Stegostoma tigrinum: one gene and its partners. The protein of the gene in region 1 purifies or fractionates together with the protein of each later gene. This does not show direct contact. Links are inferred from orthologs where the notes say so. Each region holds a gene or a part of one and is shown on either strand. Other genes may lie near its edges. The genes, in order: polr2f, si:ch211-140b10.6, crcp and rpap2.

Evidence for each region.
Region 2: the proteins of polr2f (region 1) and si:ch211-140b10.6 purify together in Homo sapiens (affinity purification with mass spectrometry; 4 studies listed by BioGRID and IntAct, with this or other methods). This does not show direct contact. The link is inferred for Stegostoma tigrinum from reciprocal best matches to the Homo sapiens genes POLR2F and POLR1D.
Region 3: the proteins of polr2f (region 1) and crcp purify together in Homo sapiens (affinity purification with mass spectrometry; 5 studies listed by BioGRID and IntAct, with this or other methods). This does not show direct contact. The link is inferred for Stegostoma tigrinum from reciprocal best matches to the Homo sapiens genes POLR2F and CRCP.
Region 4: the proteins of polr2f (region 1) and rpap2 purify together in Homo sapiens (affinity purification with mass spectrometry; 4 studies listed by BioGRID and IntAct, with this or other methods). This does not show direct contact. The link is inferred for Stegostoma tigrinum from reciprocal best matches to the Homo sapiens genes POLR2F and RPAP2.

Annotation. Positions count from the first base shown.
Region 1 is NC_081391.1:23,912,423-23,919,878, reverse strand, and holds the start of polr2f (DNA-directed RNA polymerases I, II, and III subunit RPABC2), read left to right. Parts: upstream 1-4,450; 5' UTR 4,451-4,521; coding exon 4,522-4,541; intron 4,542-6,971; coding exon 6,972-7,041; intron 7,042-7,456. UniProt on the Homo sapiens protein: DNA-dependent RNA polymerase catalyzes the transcription of DNA into RNA using the four ribonucleoside triphosphates as substrates.
Region 2 is NC_081359.1:78,384,545-78,392,037, forward strand, and holds the start of si:ch211-140b10.6 (protein POLR1D-like), read left to right. Parts: upstream 1-4,489; 5' UTR 4,490-4,896; coding exon 4,897-4,922; intron 4,923-5,200; exon of another isoform or gene 5,201-5,337; intron 5,338-7,493.
Region 3 is NC_081380.1:23,486,359-23,493,904, reverse strand, and holds the start of crcp (DNA-directed RNA polymerase III subunit RPC9), read left to right. Parts: upstream 1-4,532; 5' UTR 4,533-4,594; coding exon 4,595-4,602; intron 4,603-7,546. Other genes in the region: uncharacterized protein LOC132211035, read right to left, coding at 1,262-1,721, 4,396-4,412. UniProt on the Homo sapiens protein: DNA-dependent RNA polymerase catalyzes the transcription of DNA into RNA using the four ribonucleoside triphosphates as substrates.
Region 4 is NC_081361.1:86,500,863-86,508,702, reverse strand, and holds the start of rpap2 (putative RNA polymerase II subunit B1 CTD phosphatase rpap2), read left to right. Parts: upstream 1-4,823; 5' UTR 4,824-5,030; exon of another isoform or gene 5,031-5,112; 5' UTR 5,113-5,346; coding exon 5,347-5,471; intron 5,472-7,840.

The DNA of each region.
Region 1 (7,456 bases):
CAAACTTCTGATGGTTTCTTAAGCTAAAATCAATGCTAAAATAAAAACAAGTTAATGGCCCCTCAATATTTACTCTCCTGGTCATAAATACTAAGTTTTATGCAGGAACAGGAGTAGGTCATTCAGCCCCTTGAGCCTGTTCTGCATGGCCGATCTGTGGCCTAACTCCGTAGACCTGTCTTTTAGCCTGTATCCGTTAATACCTTTGTTAATAAAAATCTAAGATTAAGATCAAGTAACTGATCCAGAGTGCTCCAAACCCCTCTCTCCCGGTGTGTGTAGACGCGTTTCATAACATTTCTCCTGGATAGGCTGAGAATTAGGGTCAGACCATGTCCCCTAGTTCCAGAATCCCCATACACATATTGAGAAAGAAAATTTTCTTGAATATTTGACACATTCTTCATCCAAATCTTTCACTGTATGGCATTCCCAGTCAATGTTTGGAAAATTAGAATCCCCCCATTATTACAACTTTATTATGCTTACAATTACCTGAGATCTCCCTGCATAGTTGTTTCTCAATTTCTCTCTCGCTACTGCGGGCCTCTTGTACAATCCCATCGAAGTGATCTGGATTGTATGGACTGCTCCAAGCACAGCCAACCTATTTTCAAACATTTACTCTTTAGCACCCAGTCTAGCTATTAATTCTCTCAATCAGCAATTGGCTTTGTGTGTCTTTGGGCACCGGACTCACTGTTTTCTGTTCTCTTCCCCGTATCATCCAATCCCATGCCTATCATCAATATAATTACCCAGCTATTTTCAGCTCTGACAAAATGTTAGTGGACTCAAAATATTAACAACATTACTTTTCTCTATACAGATGCTGCAAGACTTGCTGAGTTCCTCCTGTGTTTGGCATTTCTAGCAGCCAGAGTTCTTTGTTTTATTTTGGATCGATATTGGGACCCTAGTTTCTCCCGTTATATATTTATGATTATATGTGGGTTTTCAAGGCACATTTTCAAAGTTTGCAAATGAATCAAACTTGGGCGATTTGCAAATTATGTAAGGGTCATGTGGAACTCCAAAAGGATATCAACAAGTTGGAGGAGTGAGCAGATGTGATATTATTTTTTAAAATTCACTCATGGGACATGGGTGTAACTGATTGGCCAATATTTATAGCCTATCTATAATTTCTATCAAATATAGGTTTGGATTACTTTCTATAAACTCCCCATAAAAGTAGTAACTAAGTCAGTCAGTCCTTCCAGAAGTGACAAGTTGCTGGAAAAACTCAGCAGGTCCAACAGCATCTGTGCAGAGAAAGCAGATGGTGCCAGACTTGTTGAGTTTTTCCAGCAATTTCTGTTGCTGACCTCAAGCATCCACAGTACTTTGGCTTTTGCTTCCCATTCAAGCATGGATCAGAGGGGGAAACCCTGGAGTGTTAATGGAAGGTAGTGGACACAGGAATGTCTCTGGATGTTGTTTACGTGGAATTCCGGAAGGCATTTGAAAGAAGTTTCCACGGGACTTGCAGCAAAACACTGACAGCTCAGAAACCATTTGAGTGGCAGGCAACAGACCGTCAGGATGATGGGTGGGCAATCAAACTGACACGATGTGACAGTGGTGTCCCACAAGGATCTGTGTTTGGGCCTCAATTAATCAGATTTATTAACAACTCAGTTGTGGCATACAAAATCATATATCCAACTTTGCTGGTGATGCAAAGTTAGGCAGCATTGTAATTTTGTGCTATCAACTTCAAAAGGATATTGTTAAATTAAAATGTATGGGCAAAATTGTGGCAGATGGAGTTCAAAAGAAGCAAGGATGAGGTTATCCATTTTTTGGACTCAAAAGAATAGATCATGGTACTTGAGATAATGGGAACTGCAGATGCTGGAGAATCCAAGATAATGAAATGTGAGGCTGGATGAACACAGCAGGCCAAGCAGCATCTCAGGAGCACAAAAGCTGACGTTTCGGGCCTAGACCCTTCATCAGAGAGGGGGATGGGGTGAGGGTTCTGGAATAAATAGGGAGAGAGGGGGAGGCGGACCAAAGATGGAGAGGAGAGTATAGGTGGGGAGGTAGGGAGGAGATAGGTCAGTCCAGGGAAGACGGACAGGTCAAGGAGGTGGGATGAGGTTAGTAGGTAGGAGATGGAGGTGCGGCTTGGGGTGGGAGGAAGGGATGGGTGAGAGGAAGAACAGGTTAGGGAGGCAGAGACAGGTTGGACTGGTTTTGGGATGCAGTGGGGGGTGGGGAAGAGCTGGGCTGGTTGTGTGATGCAGTGGGGGGAGGGGACGAATTGGGCTGGTTTTGGGATGCGGTGGGGGAAGGGGAGATTTTGAAGCTGGTGAAGTCCACATTGATACCATTGGGCTGCAGGGTTCCCAAGCGCAATATGAGTTGCTGTTCCCAACCTTTGGGTGGCATCATTGTGGCACTGCAGGAGGCCCACGATGGACATGTCATCTAAAGAATGGGAGGGGGAGTTGAAATGGTTCGTGACTGGGAGATGCAGTTGTTTATTGCGAACTGAGCGGAGGTGTTCTGCAAAGCGGTCCCCCAGCCTCCGCTTGGTTTCCCCAATGTAGAGGAAGCCGCACCGGGTACAGTGGATGCAGTATACCACATTGGCAGATGTGCAGGTGAACCTCTGCTTAATATGGAAAGTCATCTTGGGGCCTGGGATAGGGGTGAGGGAGGAGGTGTGGGGGCAAGTGTAGCACTTCCTGCGGTTGCAGGGGAAGGTGCCGGGTGTGGTGGGGTTGGAGGGCAGTGTGGAGCGAACAAGGGAGTCATGGAGAGAGTGGTCTCTCCGGAAAGCAGACAGGGGTGGGGATGGAAAAATGTCTTGGGTGGTGGGGTTGGATTGTAGATGGCGGAAGTGTCGGAGGATGATGTGTTGTATCCGGAGGTTGGTGGGGAGGTGTGTGAGAACGAGGGGCATCCTCTTTGGGCGGTTGTGGCGGGGGCGGGGTGCGAGGGATGTGTTGTGGGAAATGCAGGAGACACGGTCGAGGGCGTTCTCGATCACTGTGGGGGGGAAAGTTGCGGTCCTGGAAGAATGTGGACATCTGGGATGTGCGGGAGTGGAATGCCTCATCCTGGGAGCAGATGCGGCAGAGGCGGAGGAATTGGGAACAGGGGATGGAATTTTTGCAGGAGGGTGGGTGGGAGGAGGTGTATTCTCGGTAGCTGTGGGAATCGGTGGGCTTGAAATGGACATCAGTTACAAGCTGGTCGCCTGAGATGGAGACTGAGAGATCCAGGAAGGTGAGGGATGTGCTGGAGATGGCCCAGGTGAACTGAAGGTTGGGGTGGAAGGTGTTGGTGAAGTGGATGAACTGTTCGAGCTCCTCTGGGGAGCAAGAGGCGGAGATCAGGGTACTTTCTGGATTTACCTGTACGCCTACAAAGTAGGTTAAATATAATGGATGGGTTCAGGTGCATGGGTCTTTAAAATATTGTCAACAGGTACAGAAAATAATCAAGCAAGTTAATGGAATGCTGGCCTTTATATTGTGCACACGTGTAGTCTCTAGAAATTATACAAAACCCCAGTTAGAGCCCCACTTGCAGCACAGTGTCTGTGCACCACACCTCAGGAAGGATACCGTGGCCTTAGAGGGAGTACAATGTAGGTTTACAAGAATGGTATCAGAGATAATGGGAACTGCAGATGCTGGAGAATTCCAAGACAATAAAATGTGAGGCTGGATGAACACAGCAGGCCAAGCAGCATCTCAGGAGCACAAAAGCTGACGTTTCGGGCCTAGACCCTTCATCAGAGATGAAGCTCCTGAGATGCTGCTGGGCCTGCTGTGTTCATCCAGCCTCACATTTTATTATCTTACAAGAATGGTACTTGGGCCTCAGGGGTTATGAGGAGAGATTAGATAAATCAGGCCTGTTTTCTCCAGAATTTAAAAGGTGTTCTCATAAAAGTCTTCAAGATCTTAAACAGGAAAAACAGACCCTTCTTCCTAGGCCCGAACCCTCAGCCTTCCTGCTCCTCTGCTGCTGCTGCTGCTGCTGCTTGTCCAGCCCCACACCGGGTTATCTCAGATTCTCCAGCACCGGCAGCTACTGCTGTCTTTAAAGGGATGACCTGTTGCATTTGTGGGAAATGGGTTGGACTTGGCTGAGGCCCATTTCGCAAAGCGTCTGGAAGTTAAACCAAATGGTTTGTGATGCTGCTACAGGCCTGAGGTCCACCCTCCAGAAAAGGCCCCTTAGGGCCACTCAGTACATGCTGGTCAAAAACAACCGCTTAACCGTTGTGCTTCTATATTCCAGCACTTCACATCACAAATTACACCCTTACAGTTGTTAATACGAGATAAATTCACGAGTGTAATCTCTGCCCAGAACAATGTTCATGTGAAAGTATTTACTAGAACTACAGGCAATGAGGGAGAACGCCCCCTGCCAGTATCAAACATGGCGAAGCACTCCGATTGGTATAAGGCGCAGGCGCAGTGACGTCATGTCCAATAACCCTTGATCCGGAAGCACCTTGCTTGACGCCGCTCAGTGTGGACTACCACCGCCATCATGTCGGACAACGAGGACAAGTGAGTGATCGGCGAGAGCCGCTGTTTCCAACACAAGCTGCACACACCGGTGCGGACACAGCCCGTGACCGCAGACAACCGCCAACTCACCCCGGGAGCCGCTGCCGCCCTCCAACGAGGCCTCTTCCGGTCAATTTACCAGACGCCCCGAGAAGTGATCGAGCGAGGCTAACGGACAGCGACTTGACAGGGTCTGCTCACAGTGCCGCCTGCTGCCCGGGCTGAGTCACTGCACCCCCCCACACAGTGCCGCCTGCTGCCCGGGCTGAGTCACTGCACCCCCCCCCACACTGCCGCCTGCTGCCCGGGCTGAGTCACTGCACCCCCCCACACTGCCGCCTGCTGCCCGGGCTGAGTCACTGCACCCCCCCACACAGTGCCGCCTGCTGCCCGGGCTGAGTCACTGCACCCCCCCACACAGTGCCGCCTGCTGCCCGGGCTGAGTCACTGCACCCCCCCCACACAGTGCCGCCTGCTGCCCGGGCTGAGTCACTGCACCACCCCCACACAGTGCCGCCTGCTGCCCGGGCTGAGTCACTGCACCCCCCGTTACAGTGCCGCCCGCTGCCCGGGCTGAGTCACTGCACCACCCCCCCCGTTACAGTGCCGCCTGCTGCCCGGGCTGAGTCACTGCACCCCCCCCTGTTACAGTGCTGCCTGCTGGCAGGGCTGAGTCACTGCACCCCCCCCGTTACAGTGCCGCCCGCTGCCCGGGCTGAGTCACTGCACCACCCCCCCCGTTACAGTGCCGCCTGCTGCCCGGGCTGAGTCACTGCACCCCCCCTGTTACAGTGCCGCCTGCTGCCCGGGCTGAGTCACTGCACCCCCCCGTTACAGTGCCGCCTGCTGCCCGGGCTGAGTCACTGCACCCCCCCCCCGCCCCACAGTGCTCCCCACTGGCCGGGCTGAGTCACTGCACCCCCCTCACAGTGCCGCCCACTGCCCGGGCTGAGTGACTGCACCCCCCGTTACAGTGCCCCCCACTGCCCGGGCTGAGTCACTGCACCCCCCCCGGCCCACAGTGCCCCCACTGCCCGGGCTGAGTCACTGCACCCTCCCCGTTACAGTGCCCCCATTGCCCGGGCTGAGTCACTGCACCCCCCGCCCCACAGTGCCCCCCCTACTGCCGGGGCTGAGTCACTGCACTCCCCACCCCACAGTGCCCCCACTGCCCGGGCTGAGTCACTGCACCCCCCGTTACAGTGCCCCCCACTGCCCGGGCTGAGTCACTGCACCCCCCCGCCCCACAGTGCCCCCACTGCCCGGGCTGAGTCACTGCACCCCCCGCCCCACAGTGCCCCCACTGCCCGGGCTGAGTCACTGCACCCCCCGCCCCACAGTGCCCCCACTGCCCGGGCTGAGTCACTGCACCCCCCACCCCACAGTGCCCCCACTGCCCGGGCTGAGTCACTGCACCCCCCCCACAGTGCCCCCACTGCCCGGGCTGATTCACTGCACCCCCCGCCCCACAAGCCCCCACTGCCCGGGCTGAGTCACTGCACCCCCCCCCCCACAGTGCCCCCACTGCCCGGGCTGAGTCACTGCACCCCCCCCCCACAGTGCCCCCACTGCCCGGGCTGAGTCACTGCACCCCCCCCCCACAGTGCCCCCACTGCCCGGGCTGAGTCACTGCACCACCCCCCCCACAGTGCCCCCACTGCCCGGGCTGAGTCACTGCACCCCCCACCCCACAGTGCCCCCACTGCCTGGGCTGAGTCACTGCACCCCCCCACAGTGCCCCCACTGCCCGGGCTGATTCACTGCACCCCCTGCCCCACAGTGCCCCCACTGCCCGGGCTGAGTCACTGCACCCCCCCCCCCACAGTGCCCCCACTGCCCGGGCTGAGTCACTGCACCCCCCCCACAGTGCCCCCACTGCCCGGGCTGAGTCACTGCACCCCCCCCACAGTGCCGCCCACTGCCCGGGCTGAGATACTAACACACCCCCCGTGCCCGGGCTGGGGGTCCCTGTTCTGTGTGCCAAAGGGCTCCTGCTGTCTCAGCTGTGCCCCTGCACCAAGTGTCCTTCCCTTGCCACTGGTTTTAACTCTCCTGTAGCACCTCCCGCCGTCTCGCTGACTGAGAGCCCGCAGCTTTCTGCCTGGTGCTGCTGGTGGGGCGGTGGTAGCACTGGCTAATGCTTCGGAGCGCTCTTAGGGGACCATGTGGTCTGTGGCTGCTTCTGTTTCTTAAGACGTGTGGATTGGGGCTAATGTTTGATAACTGGAGGCACAGAGGTAAAGCTGGAACGGGTTGGAAAGGCACCACTAAGGGTTTTAAAGTTAATTTTGTGGGGCCTGGTTTAAAAGGGATGTGAAGGATTAGTCCTTAGTTCACAGGTTGCTGATTGAACATTCTCTTGGACAGCCAGAGCTGAGTTGTTGATACTTCTGTTTTGTGCTTCTAATATTTTTCTTTCTTTAATTTTAGTTTTGATGGAGATGATTTCGATGATGCTGATGAAGATGAAGGAATGGATGACCTGGACAATGCGGAGGAGGTGGGCACCTCGAACAACCAATATTCCTCTCTCTATCTGTAGTAAAGCTCTCTCAATTCTCCCCAACATGGGACTTCACTCCTCCCTGCTCTCTAGCTCCACCGCTCCTACAACCCGCCTTGATCGCTGCACACCTCCAGTTCTTGACTTCTGTCATTCTACCAAGACAGTCGTGCTTCCAGCTGCCTGGACTCCAAGCTCAAGAATTCCCTCCCTAAGTCTTTGTCTTCACTTCTCTCTGTCTCTCACCCATTACGATGCTCATTAAAGCCCGTCTGTTTCAGTGAGGCTTTTGCCACACCTTGTCTTTTTCTGAGGGTCAGGTTTTATCAAACAATAGTACACTGAAACCCAATTTATGAAGACTAATTGGATGATCAGATTGTCTGGTGGAGGAGCTGCAGAGCCAGTTTCT
Region 2 (7,493 bases), on another chromosome or scaffold:
TCTTGTTGTGAGAGGTTAGAAGAAAATGTGACATAACGTGATAGAATTCTTCAGTGGAATAGCAAGTGAAGTAATCCAATCCAAATTTATAGTTCTCAGCTACAAAGATATGCAGAGTAAATTGGCTGTGACAGACTGGGTAACCTAATTAAAAGGCATGGCGGTGGACAGGCTGTGGCTAATATTTAAGGAATGAATGCATGCATTGTACCAGTTATACATTCGTTCTGGGTAAAAGAATGCAACAGGCAAAGTGTCCCAACCACGCTTAACAAATGAAATTAAGGGTAGCATTATATCCAAATGGAGTCATATGAAGTTCCTGATAAAAAGTAGCAAGCCCAAGGACTGGGAGCAGTTTAGAATTCATCAAAGGAAGACTAAAAGTTTGATTAAGAGGGATAAATAGAGCATGAGAGTAAGGAACATAAAAGTGGATTGTAAAAGCTTCTGTAAGCGTGTAAAATGAAAAAGGTTAAAGGTTAGTGAAGACAAATGAAGACAAACTCACAATCTGAAATGGGAGATTTGGTCATGGAGTAGAAGAAACGATAGAGCAATTAAGCCACAACTTCTGTTCTGTCTTCATACAAGACAAGAAAATAAAACTTCCCAGAAGTGCTAGGGAAAGAAGGGTCCTTTGGGTATGAATAATTGACAAAAATTACCATGAAGGAAAATATTTCAAGAAGAATTAATGGGACTGCTAGTTGAAAACTCCTCAGGGCCTGATAATCTACATTTCAGGGTACTAAAGGAGTTGGCCACTGAAATAGCAGATATGTTGGTTGTTATCTGCTAATAATTTACAGATTCTAATTAGGTCCCAGAAAATTGGAGGATGGCAAATGTAACCCCAATATTTTGAAAAGGAGGAAGGGAGAAAAGTGGAATTTAGCCTAACATTAGTTGTAGGAAAAATAATGGGAGTCTATTATGAAGGATGTGATAAACAGAACATTTAAAAACTACCAACAGTATTACACAAACTTCAACATCAGTACCACATTTCCAAACAGGACAAAGATTTACCAATAAACATGTCCAGGTGGGTACTGGAACCTTCAAGAAACAAAGGAAGACACCAACACACTTATTATCACACTGATCTATAACTCAAGAAGTTTTCACAAAATTACTTCTAGAGTAATTGAACGAAAGAAAGTACAGGACTTCTTCCTGGTCACTTGGTCAATTCACTTAATCACAGGTAGGAGGAGGCCATTACTTCAACAAAAATGTTACATCTATGCCTAAGTAATTGCAAGGGAAAACTGTACATATATAGAATCCCAACATGAAACTCCAGAATCCTGACCTGGAAATGCAGAAAACTTCATCAACAATGCCAGCAACTGACACAATATCAGTAACATAGAGTACAATTACTACACAACAGGAGTAACAAAAACAATAATGCATGGCCATTCTTTACTGAAAACAATGAATGTGAAACCACAAGATGGACACACAACATTCCATCACCAAAGCCATAATAAAGTCACAAATAATCCTTTTCAGACAGTATAAACTGAGCAATAAAATATTCTTGTATGTTCAATTTATTTATAAAAGTTAATTATCAAACTACTGTAGTTAATAGAAAAAGTGTTAATTGTTGGGATTGTTATATTTGCTTAGAGTCTTTCGAGGAAGAGGGAGGATATGCATTTAGATTATTCATAAAGAACTTGTTATATAAATATATATCTAAAGGCGCTGCATTCAGTCACATTACAGTCATGTGCTGAGTAACAATGTATCAGTCTGTCAGTCTACAACCATATGGGGAGCTGAAAGAAGAAAAAATGCAATAAAGTTGAAGCATTCTTGAATCTAAAGTGTAATCGGCCTGAGTCTTTTGAGGATTGGCAAGTGCTGTTATATTGTCACTCCACTCATAATTTTCTCCAACTTGCCAGAGCTCCACTTTTCTGGCCCTGCTTCTGTTTCAAGATTCTACAGAAATTTGGAATGTGTCTGAAATGGAACTGCTTTAAATGTAGCATTGGATTGTCAAGATAAGACATGCACAGTAGCTGTGTTCTGCAAAGCTAACTTTTCCAACCTTTCCCTGAAGAGCACAGAAAGAAAGGTAAGTGTGAAAGAGGGTGAGTGTGGGTGGGGTAAAATTGTAGTGTAAGGGTGGTCGGTCAGGTGGTTAAGGGGATAGGTTTACTGTGGATGTATGGTAGGTGAGACAAATGGTTGAGGAATGGTTACGGTAGCACATGAATGCAGTGGATAGCTTGGAACAGTGGGCAAGATGGTATGAAGGTAGTCAGGTTGGCAACAAATGGATTGGGTCAGTTGGGCATGAGTCAGGGTGATTTGAGGATTAGGCAGGGTAATTGGAGTGTCAGGAGGAAAGCTTGTACAGTTGCAGGGGTAACTGGGGGGAAATCAGTGTAAGTGGCTGGGAGGTAAGGTTGGGGAGACAGTTGGATAGCTACCCAGGAGTGAGACCAGATTTTGTCCTGTTCCAACATTTCCTGGGTAAGTGTTCAGCAAATAGATGTATATGATCCAAAAAGTCTCCTACTATACCTGAGAATTGGAAACATTTTCGGAGGGCCCCAGAAACAAGGCATTGCAGACCAAAAGTTCAGATTCATCAAGTCCGGTGGAGTCCTTCCACTGGGACTTCTAAAGAATTCAATAACATACAGACTGGGCTTACTCCAGAAAATAAGTAAATGAAGACCAGGAGATCTGGGCTATTATTGCTAACTTATGGAAACCAGATGACATCAAATCAGTATTTATTTCAGTCATTTACTTTCATAAATTAAAGAGGTGCATAAATTGTCCCAGTGTTCAGCAAGGTATCATTATCTTTTTGATCTCACTGGACTATTATCAGCTGGCACTTCCAGTAATTTGACGGCAAAAAAACTAAACTTGCAATTGCAAATCAAGCTAATGGGGGAGACTGCAAATTCCTTGTTCCAGACAAATCTGATCCCACTGATCCAACAATGATATATATCTCTTGTTTCTTATTTACAAAAATTGCAAGGATTTCTAGTAGCTATATGTACATCACAGTACAGAATAACAGGGGGTTTCACTGATCAATTTTGTTACTGCTGAACAAAGCAATTCTAAGTACAAAAATGAATATATAAATTAACATCCTCACAAGTACCCCTTAAATGAAATTTTTGGTGCGCAAAGTGTTAACATTTCAAATTAAAATAAACATATTCAAAACATTCAGATATTTTTCTTTGCTAAAAGTACACAAACAAAACTCAATCCAGAATTATTAAGTGATTGTAAAAATGACTTTTTATTAAAAAAACACAATATGGCAGTATTTAAAAATCAATAGTAAAATCGTTCAATTCGAAAGACGTAAAAAACATACGATTAAAATTGTTTTAAATAAAAACTGCTTATCTTAGGCTTTTCCATTAATTTAAAATGATTGCTGTTGAGATGTCATAAAAATATAAGTAAATCACAAAACAAGTGAGCTCTACACTTTACCAACGCAAGAACGTTTTCTAAACTGACCACTTCTACTTCAAATATTTGCAAGGTTAAATAGAAACTTGAGTCAATACTTGATGCATGGACAAAACGACCTGAACGACTGAACAAATTAATAGATTAACGAGAAGTACATCAATATTACAGCGGTGAAATGAAATTTCATTGTTAAATATCAACGTATTATTCGCCTTTACAAAAACAAATTACTGCGGATACTGGAAAACGGGCAGGTGGTGGACAGAATCAATTAAACATCTGTTTGTTAGTGCTCTCAGAGTGGCAGGTTTTATGTTGTCCATAAACAAGCACATATAGATATATATAAATATACACATACGTCTCCCTTCTGAGCGCAATAACAAACACTCCTGAAAGCATGGCGAGACGTCTAAAATGCACGAAGTCAAATATCAAAGCAGCCTCAGCAATCTATGCAACAAGCGGCTCTCCCCACATCTCAATCCAGCAGCTTCCCAGATAACGGTCACATCAAAAACGTTCTCCTGCAGACTCTGATTTATACCAGCGAAGCGGTATGGGAAAAATAAATCAATCACCGGAGTAGGAAGATTTCACGTTAAAAAGACTGAGTTGGGAGGGGTAGGAGGCGCCTGCATTTCTCTCACACACTCCCTCCAAGATTCTTCGTCGTCAAGATACCAATAACTGCGAAATAAATATCAAATGGGTTTTCCTTTACGTTTACTTTACCTTTCGTGGTGCAGACAGCAAACACTAACCATACAGCGCCATACAATTCCAAGAAATCGTGCAAGTAACTGAATGTTTCAAGGCGATTGGTGAACATTCACTGCGAGAACTTCGGTTTTAGTGTTCAAGATTTGTACAGAAGATTACCAGTCAAATAAACTTGCTTAGTCGGGGAGCCACATTGACAGGACAGACATCCAATTACAATTCGAGATGCCACAAAGATCTGCCCACCGACGAAGGCAGGCGTGAAAGGCAAACCAATCAAAGCGCACGACAATGTCACCGCTTCCCCTCCTGTACCCCCAAAATTGCAGCAAGTTAGTGTGAAGCCGACCTGAGGAAACCTTTCTGTCTCTTAACGTTGCCTGCACGAATGGGGAGAGCTGTAGGTGGTTTGTATTTACGAAGGGGAGACAGAAATGAAGAGACAAAAATAATTTCCTGGAGGAAGTGAATGTTATTTCCCGTCATTATTCACAACGACCATGTTTCAGTCAGCTGTTTCTTTCGGAGCACGTATGATCAGGCGGCTGAGATAGGCCATCCTGCTGCGGACAGTGGAGGGGCGGGGAAAAGCTGGGCTTTCGCGGTCTCCGCGGCGGCTCGCTCCGAGACGCGGCTTTCAAAAGAAACCGAAGAAGTCGCGAGCTTCAGAGCAGTGTTAGAGTCGCGCGAGAAGTTGTCATGGAGAAAGATGGCGAACTCGAGAGGTAAACAATATCTAATGACTTCAGCCAGAGACTATGTTAATGTCATTATCAGCAGCACAGGGGCTTACTGGCCCTGTCCTGTGTGCGGTGTCTTGGCAACCGACTCTAAACAAACCCGATTCAAATTTTGTGTAAGAGATAATGGGAACTGAAGATGCTGGATAATCTGAGATAACAAAGTGTAGAGCTGGATGAACACAGCAGGCCAAGCAGCAGCTTGGGAGCGCAAAAACTGACGTTTCGGGCATAGACCCTTCATCAGAAACCTTTCTGGTTACCTGTTCGATATCGCGTTTGTTGCAGGCCTCCTCGGGCGTAGCGTATTCCCAACTCTGTATACAGAATGTGTATATCTGTAAAAAACATACCAGCCCGGTGTGACGTGTTCCGCCTCGCAAATCTGGCATGTCATGGCCATTCCCCTCCCGCCCACAACCTCAGCAAGGGTTATGGGTCAGCTAGTGCCGACATAAAATTCAGGCTGCCCTCTGACTATACATGCCAGAGAATATGCTAGGGTTCAGAAACCTGGCACGTTACCATCCATGATAACAAGGTGTAGAGCTGGATGAACACAGCAGGCCAAGCAACATCAGATAAGCAAGAAAGCTGACGTTTCATTTTCTGAAGAAGGGTCCACACCCGAAACGTTAGCTTCCTTGCACCTCCAACGCTGCCTGGCCTGCTGTGTTCATCCAGCTCTACACCTTGTAATCTCAGATTGTCCAGCATCAGCAATTCCTACTATCTCTGAATCAACTTTACCATCAATGACGTTACCATGTCGCTAGCCTCGCAACTGGAACATACTGTATGAACAGCACTATGCTTATCACGATCCTTCAGTTACTGCTCATATAATTTTGAAAATCAAATCAGCACGTGGAATAACACTACAGGTATCCTAATTGCATTTTTTTTGGAATGTCTATTCAGAGTTAAACTGAATTTGTTGCACTTGTAGCACCTAACATAGCAACTGAAATGAAACAAAGAACTGTGAATGCTGGAGATTTGAAGCAAAGAAAAACAAAAGAGCTGGAGAGACTCAACTGATTTGGTGGCATTTGTGGAGTGAAAGCAATGTTTTGAGTCCAGTGACCCTTCTTCAGAACATAGTAATTACTTAATTTCATGTGGGATGTAAGGCCCACTATGACATTGTCCAAGTAACATGTATTTGCTTGACCATTTGCAGTTTTTATTGTTTACGTAATGTGCCACCCCTGGTCTACTCCAAGGCTGGGCAACTTGAGGTTGGCAGTATTTACATTTTGGTGTTCTTAGGGACATAACTGTTGTGCAATATCTCTGCCCAGGAGACCTCGGTTCGAGGTCTCTGAACCTCTGAACAAGTTGGTTAGAAGACCTCTCGAGGTGTAATATGCCCAAGATTTGTGGGGTGGTCAACACCACAGCAAGGAACTCAGCAAATCGCACCAATCTGGCCACCCTGGGCTGTATTATCTGCATACATCTGTTTCAGTTCTTTTCAAGGCCTGTCTTGAGATTTTTTTGAATTTCAAAGTCTACTTTGTTCATTTCCATTAACTCCATTAGATGATACATTCATGTGATAACATGACTGTCTGTGTTGGTGTTGATTTTTTTTCTTCAGTTTTTATGTCATTTTAGTAATCCAAATGGAAAGATTGCAGTACACAGCAGATTTTCCAATTTTAAGACAAGGATTAATTAGTTCAAAAGAGCATGGTAACCATGTGTCAATGCTATAATCTGAAGTGCTATTCCCCATTCCAAATTACCCTTGAAAAGCTAGTGGTTAACTACCTTTTTTTGAGTACACCTGAGTAGTTTGCTAGTCACTTTCAGACGTCTGCTAAAAGTCAATTACATTGCAGTGTATTTGGATTCACACGTAAGCCTGAATGTTTAAGGTTGATCTCTTTCCCAAGAGAACATTAGTGCATCAGGTGTTTTACTTTACAACAGTGCAGTTGTTTCATTTAAGTTTAAATTCCCTTGCAAGAAGGGAATTTAAAACATAAAAGTATCTTGCCACACATCTGTCTTCACTGCTCCATGTTAGATGCCTTGATATCTTATGTCTTATATTAGAACCCAGATACCATTTGCTGTTCAGTGCTTAACCCACATGGAGGCTGCATTTACATTGCAGAGTCAACATGAGGTTGCTCTGACACTAATTACAGTTAATGTGTGGCCAAAGCAGAGAAACACCAGAGTGAAGTGGAGCAGAACAGCCTGTAGGAGGGCTTTTGAATCAGTCAGGACGCAACGTGGACAGCTCAGTTTAAAATTCATGACAAAAATTAAAACTGATTTCTAGCAATCTTGAACTTTACTACAAATGCATGCTTAGCAACAACCTAACTAAAGTCAGTAATAAATTTAGGGTAAAAAACACTTAAAGATGTGGCATCAGTATAAGGAAATGGATTAACAAATTAAGTTGTTTGGAGTGTATGATCCACTATTATCCAGGTTTAACAGTTGGAAATGATGAGGCTACAGCTTTGAGGCACATGCCAGACAGGGAATACAATGTGCATGTCTTGTTTGCACGCTTTAGTCTTTATCACCATATCA
Region 3 (7,546 bases), on another chromosome or scaffold:
GGTTGCCTGAGATGGAGTCTGAGAGGTCCAGGAAGGTGAGGGATGTGTTGGAGATGGCCCAGGTGAACTTGAGGTTGGGGTGGAAGGTGTTGGTGAAGTGGGTGAACTGTTCGAGCTCCTCTGGGGAAGCAAGAGGCGGCGCCGATACAGTTATCAATGTAACGGAGGAAGAGGTGGGGTTTGGGGCCTGCGTAGGTGCGGAAGAGGGACTGTTCCACGTAACCTACAAAGAGGCAGGCATAGCGGGGGCCCATGGCCACCCCCTTTGTCTGTAGGAAGTGGGAGGAATCGAAAGAGAAGTTGTTGACGGTGAGGACGAGTTCGGCTAGGCGGATGAGGGTGTCGGTGGATGGGGACTGGTCGGGCCTGCGGGACAGGAAGAAGCGGAGGGCCTTGAGGCCATCTGCATGCGGAATACAGGTGTATAGGGACTGGACATCTATGGTGAAAATGAGGTGTTGTGGGCCAGGGAATTGGAAGTTCTGGAAGAGGTGGAGAGCGTGGGTGGTGTCACGGATGTAGGCAGGGAGTTCCGGGACCAAAGGGGAGAAAATGGAGTCCAGATAGGTGGCGATGAGTTCAGTGGGACAGGAACAGGCTGAGACAATGGGTCGACCAGGGCAGGCAGGTTTGTGGATTTTGGGAAGAAGACAGAAACGGGCCGTGCGGGGTTGGGGAATAATAAGGTTGGAGGCTGTGGGTGGGAGGTCCCCTGAGGTGATGATGTCATGAATGGTGTTGGAGATGATGGTTTGGTGCTCGGGGGTGGGGTCATGATCGAGGGGGCGGTAAGAGGTGGTGTCGGAGAGTTGGCGTTTGGCCTCGGCGATGTAGAGGTCAGTGCGCCGTACTACCACTGTGCCACCCTTGTCTGTGGGTTTGATGGTGAGGTTGGGGTGGGAGCGGAGGGCTGCCCGTTCTGCGGGGGAGAGGTTGGAGTGGGTGAGAGGGGTGGAGAGGTTGAGGCGGTTAATGTCTCGGAGGCAGTTGGAGATGAAGAGGTCGAGGGAGGGTAGGAGGCCTGGGGGTGGTGTCCAGGAGGACAACTTGTGTTGGAGGCGGGTGAAGGGGTCAGTGGAGGGAGGGTTAGGCTCCCGGTTGAAGAAGTAAGCGTGGAGGTGAAGACGGCGGAAAAACTGCTCTATGTCCAAACGTGACTGGTATTTGTTGATGTGTGGTTGTGGGGGGACAAAGGTGAGCCCCTTGCTTAGGAATGACCGTTCATCCTAGTCAGTGGGAGGTCTACAGGGATGGTGAAGACTCAGCAGGGCTCTGTGTGGCTGTCTACTCTGGGGTTCCCGGCTGTTGAGGTTGTGGGCGGAGCGATGAGATCGTCAGCTGTGGGCGGGGTTCCGTCGGCATCAGCCATGGGCTGGGTTCCGTCGGCAGTGGGAGGAACAGGGTGGGCGGCGGCAGCAGCGGTGAGGGTGGTGTGTGGTGTTACAACTGGAAGTGGAGGTGGTGACTGCCGCAGCAGTCGCATCTGCGGTCCCAGAAGTGGTGTGCCCAGCGGTGGCAGATGTGTCGTCATCGGTGGGGTCTCCGGCCATGTCCTCATGGTCAATGGTGGCGGGTGCTTGGTGGGGGAGGGGCAGGGACTGGCTCGGGATTTGGGAGGTGCAGGAATCCTTTTCAAGGTGCCAGGAGCCAATGAGTTTGTAGTACTTACGATTTTTGGAGTCCAGTAAAGCTGAGTAGAACTGGTGTTCAGTCTGTGGATCCTGTGGAGGATAAAAAACAGGAGAGGTCCTTTGCTGGTCTGGGAGAGGGAGGCTCTGAGCTGGGGCAGGCTGGATTGCAATGCCTGGAGGTGCCGACGCAGGACTCGCAGGGAGAAACGCTTCTGAAGGGTCTGAATGCTCTGGGTGTAGAGGTGGTCACGGTTGGGGCAAAATTGGGAAGGCTTGAATGTAGACTGTGGTCCATTGGGGATGATCCAGTTCCGTAGGCAGGTGCTGAGGAAGGTGATGTGGCTGTGGTACCTGGTTTGCTTCACGACATGGTCGAGCAGTTTCAAGGATGAAGAGATTGCAAGAGAGTTGCAGTGGGAGAGAGATTCCCTGAGGTTGGTCCGGAGGGAGGAGGGTAACTTCTTCAGGTTAGGCATCCCTGGAAGAGGCCTCGCAGTGAGGTTAAAATTGTATCAGAGATAATGGGAACTGTAGATGCTGGAGAATCCAAGATAACAAAGTGTGGAGCTGGGTGAACACAGCAGGCTAAGCAGCATCTCAGGAGCACAAATGCTGACGTTTCGGGCCTAGACCCTTCATCAGAGAGAAGTCTGTTGAGGTGTTCGTGTATGAGAAACTGCCATGGGCATCCCAGTTGCATTAATCTCAACTTCTACCATAAGAAGTGCACTCAGTTAGTTTAGTCAAGAGAAAAGTGTGCTACGTCAGCAGTACTGGCACACCTTGTTGATCCTTACTGTGGTTGTGATTACGGAAAAGGATTCAATGTAATGAAATAATTAATGTCACATCCACAATTCTAACTATTGATGGCTTTAAGATTCACAAATAACGAAAGGGGGGGTGGACACATTTGAAATAGAACAGTTTGAGAACTGTCATGCAGGCAGTGGGGAAACAGAGGAAACATTATGCCTTGTGCACTTCCTAAATTTGCTCATTCACTTTGGAAAAAGTGAGTTTAGGTCATTGGACCTCCAGTTTGAAGGGATCTAACAGAAAATTGGCTGAACAGATGGGCCTAGCTCCCTTTCCATCCTGCTTGCTGTGTTGACGGCTCAGCCAGACCCGTGGAGCACCTCACAAGGGTTAGATTACCCTGGTCCTTCTTAACACCGAAGGCAGTACCTCTCCTCCAATTCTCCTTCATCAAGATCCCATCTGATAGGAGGGTTATTCTTTTAAGGGTGCAACATACCACTCCAATTCAAGAATCCTTGAGTGACTGTACTGGAAAACATCCCCTAATCTGTCTACCAGAACCAAATCTTGAGGACTACAGTGCCTGCTCTATGGTGGCCCTGGTATGGCGACAGGAGGCTGCTGAAGCATTTCTGTGCCTCAACTGGTTTCATAATAGTTGTTAGCAGATATCTATTTAATGGATTGCTGCTGGAGAAATGAGGCTCTCTGCCTGATTAAGTGATTCTTCAACCAAAGTGGACTATAGGATTCAGGAAGCCCAGTTGTGTTGGTATACCAAATCGGGACATCACCTTGGCTCCCTCCCTGCCTTGTGCACAACCGCTCGATATGCCTTAGGACTAAAGGCTCATAATTAGTGCAAAAATAGCTGCTCATTATTGTTGTTTATCTCCAAATCTAAGCTGCTCAGCTCAATATCCAAAGATGGCTTTTCCTTCCTTCAGAAGGCTGATCATAGCTGCCCCCGAAGCGCACTAACCCTTGTTTGGTCGCTCCCCCCCCAATAACACTATGAGGCTGCATACTCTATAGCCACTCCACCTCACTAACCATTCCACCTTTTGTGCTAATCTCCTACTTCCCCACACACTCCTATAACATTGAACAAAACTTTTTAAAAATCACATCTGAAGTGGGGCTTGAACCCAAGGTTTCTGCCCAGATGCAGGAACGCTAGCACGGCATGACAGAGCACCCATATATTTGCACAGATTTTCTAATCTGCCAGTTAAGAGACGTGACTGTACACTTCTGCGGCAGGGGAGACTTCAACCTAGGCCTCCTCACTCGAGCCCACATCACATCCTGTAAAATGTTATTTTCTCGTTAAATTACTTTTGATAGAGACTTTAACCAACCTACCTAGATGTGTTATGATAGCCCTGGTACTGAGGCAGCACCTGTCTGCAGCAGGTAAGATTTGAATACAGGTCTTTAGGTCCATAGGCAGAGGCATTACTACTGCACTACAAGTCTCTCAATTATACTTTTACACAATATTTTTCTAAACAACCTGTTCAGATACATTATTACACATCTGTGGAGCAGGGAAACTTGAACCTGGGACCAATAGTCCAGCAACAGGGACACATATCTTTACAGGTCCAGAGGTGCCATCACACACACACACAAACAAACACCACCAAATTACCATAACTTTCTTTTTTACCCTGCACCTTGTTTATACCCAGAAGTGCTATCTCACACAACTAAGTGACCTTCCCACTACTAAAATCACCATGACTGCTTTTTTTTAAAAAACTTACCAACAACCACCACCAGTAAAGTAAAACACCCGTTTTAGATATTAGATGCTTACAAGCAAAGGCCATTACTGGCGATGCAAACCATCTAAACGGGGGGGAGGTGGATGGGGAAGGGACTAAATCAAACTGGAGTTGCTGGAAGAAATGAAGAAGTGTATACCCTGCGGCGCCCACCTCTCTATAACGTCATGGAGTACACTGAAGAGACACCCAGCCATGAACCATATTCTTACACATTATTTCTATCCATCTGGTTCGAATACCTCAGTTGAAGCAGTTCCCCGGCCCAGAACCAGCTCCCGCTCAAGGCCGCGGCTGGGATTCATGACCGGAAATCACGTGGGCCTGTGCGGCCAGTTTCTTCCTCCGGTGAGAGGTCGGAACCAAACTGCGGTGGCAGAGCGGCTGTCAGGGCCCGAGAGCGGAAGCAGGATGGAGGTGTAAGTTCTCTTCAAATGTTTGCTCCAGTTTTTAGATCAACGTTGCCTCATCAAAGTCACTAGCAGCGTTTAAACGGAGTCGGGTGTCCGGCACGGGGAGAAAAACAGAAACTACGGCTCTCTTCATAGCTTTTCAGTCTGTCTTTTGGATTTTTCGCTGATTTTAGAAAACCCGCCTTCAGTCTTTTTCAACACTTTTCTTTCACAACAGACAAAACTCGTTCTTTTTGGTTGTCCTGTGTATTTTGTGCAAATAGCCCGATTTTTGTTTTGGTGTGAGTCTCTTATGTCTGCTGAATGAATAATTCATTTATGCAGCTCGGGAAGTTTGGCCAAGCAGTGATGGTTTGTGAGGTTATGAATTGTGCGGCAATTAAGAACGAAACATAGGATAAGTCTGGTTGGACTCAGTACCTGTGTCTTTTATTTTGGTCCAGTATGTTCAACGTGTGGCAGACCATGCGTGTGGTTGAAGGGACAAGCAATGTCAGTATCGCAACACGTTAGAGCAGAAAGAGCAGGGGCCGCAGAGGAGAGATGGTGCAGCAGGAGGTGTTGAAAATAGAGACTTTAGAGCAGCTGTCAATGTGAGAGTTTGGAACAGGGAGTGTGATGAGACTTTCAATTGCAATGTTCTCCGTATAAATAATTTACTTTGTCTCGCATAATTGTGGGAGGGAGGCAAGGGCTTGGGGAACGGGGAGCTGGGTGGTGGCGGGTATCTGTCGACGATACGTTGATCTGATTGACCATATTATATGGGAGTAAAACTCCGTTAATTTGAATATCCTCATCATGACCTGCTTATGTCTCCCAACGTTCTCACATCAATGTTCTGTAGTAATCGCAGTATTAGTGATAGTCACTCACTTCCCACATGTTTTTCTTAGCTCCCTTTTTTAAAAGAAAGCATGATTTTTGTATCTGTCAGCTACTTCCGTTTTCTCCACCGCTTTGTCCATGGCCGTTTTTCTTGATTTGTGTCTGTCCACGTGAGGAATAATGTAGAAATGCAAGTTATGTACTGTGTGTGGATGCATTTAAGGGGTTTCTCAGATAGCAGAACGAAAGCTTAGAATAGAATCACTACCGCGTGGAAACAAGTCATTCGGCCCACAGAGTCCGCACCGACTCTCCCGAGAGCATCTGAGATGATGGGAACTGCAGATTCTGAAGAATCCGAGATAACGAAGTGTGGAGCTGGATGAACACAGGCCAAGCAACATCTGAGGAGCATAAAAGCTGACGTTTCGGGTCTAGACCCTTCTTCAGCTGCACACTTTGTTCTCCCGAGAGCATCCTCCTACCTTATCCCTTTAACCCTGTATTTCAGCACGGCCAAGCCATCTAACCTGCACAACTTTGGACTGTGGGGACGAAATCTTCGCAGACACGTGGAAATCATGTGAACTCCACATAGACAGTTTCCCAGAGCTGGAATTGAACTTGGATTCCTAGTGCTGTGAGGCAGCGGTGCGGATCATAGCCATCGTGCCGCCTCCTGTTCTTAAATTATATCGGGGATAAGTGCACATGAAAAATTCATTTTTTTTGAGGGAAGAGACAATCTTACAGCTGTCTTGTGGAGCTAAAAGTGAAGAACATCGGGGGACTGATGGTTTGCAACGCGATATTTTTTTAAAAACTCCAATGTTTGATCCCATTTATGATTCTATTGATAAATTAGACTTCTCATGTTTATAAAGTAAGTTCATATATAATTGTATTGGGAATTGATTACTGAGTAACTGTAAACTGCACCAATTTCAATTGTGACAATCGGGTTTTCTACCCTTTTATACACAATATATTTTTGACAAGTGCATCAATAACCAGCTGACAGTTATACACTGTCCTGATTATTGACTTATCCAGTATAAAATTTTAAAATGTCTTGTAGAAAATCCTCTGTTTGAACATCAATTTCCACCGAAACATTTCAAATCTGTTGTGGATGAACAGTCTGGGCGATTCTCCCTGAAGTGTCAAGGCTGAGGGGTCACCTTTTATAGAAGTTTAATAAATCATGAGCACTGATAGGGTGATTAGTCTTTTCCTCGGGGTAGTGGGGTCTAAAAGTAGAGGGCATAGGTTTAAGGTGAGAGGGGACAGATTTAAAAGGGACTTAAGGGACAACTTTTTAATGTAGAAGATGCTGCATTTATGGAATGAACTGCCGGAGGAAGTGGTGGAGGCTGGTACAATTACAACATTTAAAAGACATCTGGATGGGTATATAAATAGGAAGGGCTTAGCGGAACATGGACCAAATGCTGGCAAATGGTGCCAGTTTTATTTGGGATATCTGGTTTGTATGGACAATTTGGATTGAAGGGTCTGTTCCTGTGCTCTACAACTCTATGACTCTATACTATAGCATTTAGTACAAGCACTAAAGTGAACATTTGTGAATAAATTAACTTTTATTATTTATACCGTACAACAAAACAATCCCCTTTTTAAATACAAGATGCTAAAATTAAAGAGCAGAGAATTGAAATCTTTTATCGTAGTTTGGCTTCCACTAGTTAATGCCACCCCTTGTATTGAATGTTGACGGAAGAGTAATAGGAGCTTGCAATTCTTTATAGTGCTTTAATATCAAAATAAGCTCTAACAAATTTAGGTGGTGTAATAAAACAAAAATGAATGTTAAACTGAAGGAGATTTTAAAAGGATTGTTAGTGGGTCAAATTGAAAGAAAAAGAAAGAGAAAGAGGCATAGTTTAGGGAGGGAATTCCAGAACATGATGACTGGACAATTGAAATACATGGTTACTGATGTTTTACCAAGAGAATTGGGAGTGACTACACAAGTAGCCATTTCAGGGAGGTATCATATTATCAGAATTGATTCTGACATTGAGAGGTAAGGCCATGTAGGGATCTGAATATGAGAAGATTTTTAAACTTGAGGCTTTGGGAGCCAATGTAAAGTCAAAGC
Region 4 (7,840 bases), on another chromosome or scaffold:
GCATCCACTGCTCTACCTTCAGCAACATGTTTGGTCACCTCTTCAAATAATTCAATAAGGTTTGTGAAGCACGATCTACCCGTCACAAATCCATGCTGACAATCACGAATCAAAACCGTGCCTATCCAAGTGATCATAAATCCTATCTCTCAGAGCCCTTTCTAATAATTTGCCCATCACTGAAGTAAGACTAACTGGCCTATAATTTCTGGGGTTATCTCTGTTCCCTTTTTTTGAACAAGGGAATGACGGTTGCCTCTCTCCAATCTTCTAGCACTATACCCATGGACAGTGAGGATGAAAAGATCATCGGCAAAGGCCTTGTGATCTCTTCCTTTGCTTCCCATAGAATACTCGGATATGTCTCATCAGGCCTGTGGGACTTATCTGTCTTCAAGTTCCTCAAAATTCCTAGTACATCCTTATTACTAACATCCACCTCCTCCAAATAAAAACCAAAAGAACTGCGGATGCTGTAAATCAGGAACAAAAACAAAGTTGCTAGGAAAGCTCAGCAGGTCTGGCAGCATCTGTGAAGGAGGAAACAGAGTCAACGTTTTGGATCTGGTGACCCTTCCTCAGAACTGATAGTGGCTGGGAAAATGTCAGTTTATGTGCAGAAAATAGGGAGGTGGGTGGGGTAGGGAGTAAACGAAAGGATAGAGCCCAAAGAGCAAGAAAGACAGTTGGATAGACAAAGGAGTTGCTAACGATCAGGCTGGGAGGGTGAGTAGTTGTTTATGGGGACCGTTATTGACGAACAACAGCGGGTGTGTAGTGATAATGGGAACTGCAGATGCTGGAGATTCCAAGATAATAAAATGTGAGGCTGGATGAACACAGCAGGCCAAGCAGCATCTCAGGAGCACAAATCCATTTGTGCTCCTGAGATGCTGCTTGGCCTGCTGTGTTCATCCAGCCTCACATTTTATTATAGCGGGTGTGTAGTAGCAGGCTATGTGGTAGGGCTCTCAATCGGGTCCAACCCATCTCCCACACTTTTGCCCTCACCTCTTCTCTTCCCACCTGCAACAGTGATAGGGTTCCCCTTATCCTCACCCACCATCCCACCAGCATCCATATCCAGAAAATCATCAGATGACATTTTCACCACTTCCAGCAAGATGCCACCAGATACATATTCTCCTCCGCTCTCTTGTCTGCCTTCCGCACGGACCATTCCCTCCGGGACACCCTGGTCCACACTTCCTTCACCCCCAAACCCTGCCCCCTACCCTACGGCGCCTTCCCCTGCAACTGGCGAAGGTGCAACACCTACCCACTTACCTCCTCCCTCCCCAGTATCCAAGAGCCCAAACGTACCTTTCAGGTGAAGCAACACTTTACCTGCACTTCCCAGAATCTAGTCTACTGCATTCGCTGCTCAAAATGTGGTCTCCTCTACATTGGGGAAAATGAAGCGTAGACTTGGCAACCGCTTTGCAGAAAATTTACGTTTTGCTCACAAAAAAGACCCTGAAGTACCTGTTGCCTGCCACTTCAACGCACTACTCTGTGCCCTGGCCAATATCTCTGTCTCCAGCTTGCTACAGTGTTCCAGTGAAGCCCAACGCAAGTTGGAGGAACAACAGAGATTACACAGTGTGAAGCTGGATGAACACAGCAGGCCAAGCAGCATCAGAGAAGCAGGAAAGTTTGACGTTTCGGGTCAGGACCCTTCTTCAGAAATGGGGGAGGGGAAGGGGATTCTGAAATAAATAGGGAGAAGGGGAGAAGTGGATAGAAGATGGATAAAGGGAAGACAGGTGAGAGGAGACAGACAGGTCAAAGAAGAGGGGTTAGAGCCAGTGAAGGTGAACGTAGGTGGGGAGTTAGGGAGGGGACAGGTCAGTCCAGGGGGGATGGACAGGTCAAGGGATGGGATGAGGTTAGTGGGTAGGAGATGGGGGTGGGGCTTGAGGTGGGAGGAATGGTTAGGGAGGCAGGGACTAGCTGGGCTGGTTTTGGCATGTGGTCGGGGGAGGGGTAATTTTGAAGCTTGTGAAGCCCACATTGGGAACCCTGCAGCCCAAGGGTATCAAGCGAAATATGGGATGCTGTTCCTGCATCTTTCGGGTGGCGTCATTGTGGCAATGAAGGAGGCCCAGGATGGACATGTCGTCCGAGGAGTTGCCGGGGCGGGGGGGGGGGGGGGGGGGGGAGGAGTTGAAATGGTTCGCGACTGGGAGGTGCAGTTGTTTGTTGCGAACTGAGTGTAGGTGTTCCGCAAAGCAGTCCTGATGTAGAGCCCTGTCTTCTTCTTTATCCATCTTCTATCCGCCTCCCCTATCTCCCTATTTATTTCAGATTCCCCTCCCCTCCCCTCCCCCATTTCTGAAGAAAGGACTAGACCCAAAAGGTCAGCCTTCCTGCTCCTCTGATGCTGCTTGGCCTGCTGTGTTCATTCAGCTTCACGTGTTATCTCAGATTCTCCAGCATCGGCAGTTCCTACTATCTTTGGATGAATAACACCTCATTTTCCCCTTGGGGTCCCTACAGCCCTCTAGACTCAATACTGAGTTCAATAATTTTAGGGCCTAAACTCCCCCATGTCCCAGCCCCCCAACCCACACACCAGGCTTTGTTACCACATTGCCTGCCACTACACACCCCCTGTTGTTAGTCACTAACAAACCCCATTAACAACTACTCATCCTCCCAGCCTGATCATCAGCAACTCCTTTGTCTGTCCAACTGTCCTTTCTCTCTCCTTGGGCTCTATCCTATCGTTTACTCGCAACCCCACCCACCTCCCTATTTTCTGTTTATAAAGTGACGTTTTCCCAGCCACCGTCAGATCTGAGGAAGGGTCACCAAACCCGAAACGTTAACTCTATTTTCTCCTTCACAGATACTGCCAGACCTGCTGAGCTTTTCTAGCAACTTTGTTTTTTTTTCCACTTCGCCAGCCGACCAGCCTGTTTCACACTGTACTCCCCTACAACTAGGTCTCTCTCAGTTGTGAATACTGAAGAAAAGTATTCATTTAAAGGACCTCTTCTATCTCTTTAGGCTCCACGGACAAATTCCCTTTACAATCCTTGATCGGCCCTACCCTTTCTCTGGACATTCTCTTATTCCTCACATATGTGTAAAAAGCCTTGGGGATTTCCTTGATCCTATCTGCCAAGGTTTTCTCATGCCCCCTTTTAGCTCACCTAAGCCCTTTCTTCAGTTCCTTCCTGACCAGCTTGTATCCCTCTGGAGCCTTTTCCGATCTGTTTCCTAAACCTTATATAAGCATCCTTCTTCCTCTTAACCAGTCGTTCCACCTTGCTTGAGAACCAAGGCTCCCTACTCAACCACACCTTCCCTGCCTGCTAGGGACAAACATATTGAGCAGACGCAGTATGCATTCCTTAAACAATATCCACATTTCTATACTGCTCTTCCCTGACAGCATCTGTTTCCAATTTATGTTACTCTGTACTTGCCTAACACAATTATAATTACGCTCCCCCCAATTATAAACCTTACCCTGCTGTATGTACATATCCTTTTCCATGACTATTGTAAACGTAACAGAGCTATGATCACTTCCGCCAAAATGCTCTCCTACCAACAGGTCTGACACTTGGCCCGATTCATTGCCAAGCACCAAATCTCCTCATTTGGTCTATCTACATAGTGTGTCAGGAATCCTTCCTGATCGCACTGAACAAAATCCACTCTGTCTAAACTATTACAACTAAAATATTTCCAATCAATATTTGGAAAGTTGAAGTCACCCATGACTACAACTCTGTGACTTCTGCACCTTTCCAATCCGCTCCTCCACTCCTCTGCAACTATTAAAGGGTCTGTTTTTAAAACAAAACCCAAAGTGACTGCTCCTTTCTGGTTCCTGACCTCAACCCAAACTGACTCTGTACGCATATCATTCTTGAACTGCCTTTTAGTAGCTGCTATACTAGCCTTGACTAGCAATGCCACTCTTTTACCACCCTCCCTATTTCTTTTAGAGCATCTAAATCCCGGAATTTCCAACAACCATTCCTCTCCCTGAGTTGCCCGAGTTTCTGTAATGGCCATAACATTGTAGTTCCAAGTACTGACCTATGCTCTAAGTTCAGCTGCCTTATTTCTGATACTTCTAGCATTGAAGTATACACACTTCAAGCCATCCCTGTGTCCACAATTACGCTCCATTGACCACATTTCTTTATTAACAGCCTCACTCCTTGCTGTGTCCGTTGGAAGGCTGATTACTTCATCCTCTGAATTACAAATCCGGTTCCACACCCCCTGCCAATCTAGTTTAAACCATCCCCTTTAGCTCAAGCAAACCTCCCTCCCAGAATATTTGTGCCTTTCCAGTTCAGGTGCAACTTGTCATTACTGTACAGGCCCCACTTTCCCCAGAATGTGCTCCAATTATCCACGTAATGGAAGCCCTCTCTCCCACACCAGCCCTCCTACACCTACACCTCAGGTGCATTGAAAAGATTTAGAGGCGTATAATCAACCTTTTTAGCATTCACACAACAACTGCTTATAGTCCAACAGGTTTACTTGGAAACATGAGCTTTCAGACGCTGGAGTCGGAGATAATAGTGTGGAGCTGGAGGAACATCGCAGGCCAGACAGCGTAAGAGTAAAGTTGACATTTCAGGTTGGGATTTCTGAAGAAGGGTCCTGACCCAAAACGTCAACTTTCCTGCTGCTCTTATGCTGCCTCGCCAGCTGTGTTCCTCCAACTCAACGCTGGACTATAACCTGGTGTTGTGATTTCTGACGTTGTCTAACCCAGTCCAACACCAGCACCCACACATCATTTTTAGCATTACAAGTGCACTTTCCATATCCAGAGAGTCTTAGTGTGGAACTTGAACTTGGAGCTTCTAGCCCAGAAGGAAGTGACACTACCACTGTGCCACAAAGTTTTCTGACAATTGAAATTAACAACTCAATATCAGTGTGGGTTTTCGGAGCTTTCCCCCTTCGTCACACTTCGAAAGCTTATGATTTCAAATAAACTAGTTGTCGTCTGACTTCTGACGCCAGTCCAACACCGGCACCCCCACACCAAGGTAGGTTTTGACTGAGAATAATACCAAACAATCCGAAGAACCCGTGTTGGACTCAAAACGTTGACTTTTTCTCTCTCCGCAGATGCTGCCTGATCTGAGTTTCTCCAGCATTCTCTATTCATTGGGGAAAAAAGGGCGATTCTTCAAATAATATGAACGAAAAATTTAAACTCCCTCTATGATCAGAAAAAAAACTGAAGACATTATTTAAGTAGAATGAACGGAAAAACGAGGATTTAAATATTGAACCGGCAATAATCACGCCTCTGCTGGTTAACGGCCACAACGGCGGGGTCAAAGTTCGGTTGGTACCATCATGGCGTCGGAGCCGAGGCGAAACCCGGGTGGGAGACGCTTAAGGAGCCGGCGGCGAGAGGGCTCGAGCGAGGTCAGTGTTAACAGTAAGATGGGAGTCTCGGACATTGAAGGGACCCTCAAGAGGTGAGAGAATCCGACTGCGGGCCGGAAGTTTGTAATCGTTGCGTTGTCAATTCTGTTAGGGACTTATGGGATGGAAGAGGGCAGGGAGATGGAGGAAGAGGAATCTCAAAAGTATATGCAAGTCTCTGTGTAACATCAGTCAGTGTCTGAACTGTCCTGTCTGTTCTTGCCTGCCCGTTCCCTGTGGTGGTTGGGTTAGTTAGTCCAGTCTCACATAGTATTTGGTGCAAGGCTGTTCAGGTATGTTTGTGTGCAACTTTAAAAATGGCACTAAATTTTAAAAAAAACCAAACAACTACGAATGCTAGAAAGCGCAACTCGGCGCAAACTGTAAGAACTCCCTCACTTCTGTTTGAGGACTCTACAGTCTTCTGGGCTCAATGTTGAGTTCAACAATTTTCGGGCTTGAGACGCCGTCCCATGCGCTTCCCCTAGTTAGGCCTTGTTATCACACAGTCTGCTACTGCAGATTGTCTATCGTTTGCCGCTAATTGTCCACTAATAGCTATGAATTCTCCCAGGCTGATCATTATTCCTTCATTTTGTCGGTTTGTCGGTTCTTTTGTCTTTTGGATTCTGCCTACCTATCCTTTACTCGTTACCCCCTTCCCCCACCATATCCTCTGCATAACAACCAACGTTTCCTAGCTACTACCAGTTCTGAAGAAGGGTCACTGAACCTGAAACATTAACTTAGATTTCTCTCCAGGAATGCTGCCAGATCTGCTGAGCCTTTTCAGCAATTTTCTGTTTTCGTTTTGAAAGACCTGTTAATGTTTGCCCCTCCTGTTTTGGTTGTTCTATTTACTCCAGGGAGCTACAGCCAAGATGTAACAAGAAAAAGTAACATTGGTATTGTCGTTGAGACAAACTGTCTATAACCCATTTCCAGTTTGTTTACTAAGTAGATTTGGTCCAACTGTTTTAGTGTAGGGAAAGGCAATTTTAATTATTTTCAATGGCAGTGGTGAAATGTAACAGATTACCAATGGATTTGGAGGTGAAAGAGAACACCAGGTATAACAAAGTGTAGAGCTAGATGAACACAGCAGTTTGAGAGGGAGAAGGGAGAATCGGAAGTGTCAGTATTGCAATTGAATAAAGGGAACTATGGAGCTATGAGGGAGGAGCTGGCCAAAGTTCAGTGGTACAATACCCTATCAGGGATGGCAGTGGAACAAGAATGGCAGGTATTTCTGGATATAATGCAGAAGGTGCAGGATCAGCTCATACCAAAGAGGAAGAAAGATCCTAAGGGGAGGCGGGGGCAGCCATGGCTGACGAGGGAAGTTAAGGACTGTATAAAAATAAGAGAAGTATAACATAGAAAAGATGAGTGGGAAGCTCTTAAAGAGCAACAGCGGATAACTAAAAAGGCAATACACAGAGGAAAAAATGAGCTATGAAGGAAAACTGGCCAAAAATATAAAGGAGGATAGTAAAAGCTTTTTTAGGTATGTGAAAAGAAAAAGAAAAGGTTACGACTAAAATTGGGCCCTTGAAGTCAGAAACAGTGAATTTATTATGGGGAACAAGGAAATGGCAGATGAGTTGAATAGGTACTTTGGATCTGTCTTCACTAGGGAAGACACAAGCAATCTCCCAGATGCAGTAGTGGCTGAAGGAGCGAGGGTAATGGACAAACTGAAGGGTATTTGTATTAGGCAGGAAATGGTGTTGGATAGACTGTTAGGTCTGAAGGCTGGTAAGTCCCCGGGACCTGATGGTCTGCATCCCAGGGTACTTAAGGAGGTGGCTCTAGAAATTGTGGACACGTTGGTAATTATTTTCCAATGTTCTATAGATTCAGGATCAGTTCCTGCGGATTGGAGGGTGGCAAAAGTTGTCCCGCTTTTCAAGAAAGGAGGGAGAGAGAAAACAGGAAATTACAGACCGGTTAGCCTGACGTCAGTGGTGAGAAAGATGCTGAAGTCAATTATAAAAGATGAAATTACGACTCATTTGGATAGCAGTAACAGAATAGGTCAGAGTCAGCATGGATTTATGAAGGGGAAATCGTGCTTGACTAATCTTTTGGAATTTTTTGAGGATGTATCTATGAAGATGGATAAGGGAGAGCCAGTGGATGTTATGCACCTGGAATTTCAGAAAGCCTTTGATAAAGTCCTGCATAGGAGATTAGTGAACAACATTAGGGCACATGGTATTGGGGGCAAAATATGGAGTTGGATTGAAAATTGGCTGGTTGACAGGAAGTAAAGAGTAGTGATAAACGGGTCCCTTTCGGAATGGCAGGCAGTGACCAGTGGGGTACCACAAGGTTCGGTGCTGGGACCACAGCTGTTTACGATATATATTAATGATATAGATGAAGACATTACAAGTAATATTAGCAAATTTACTGATGA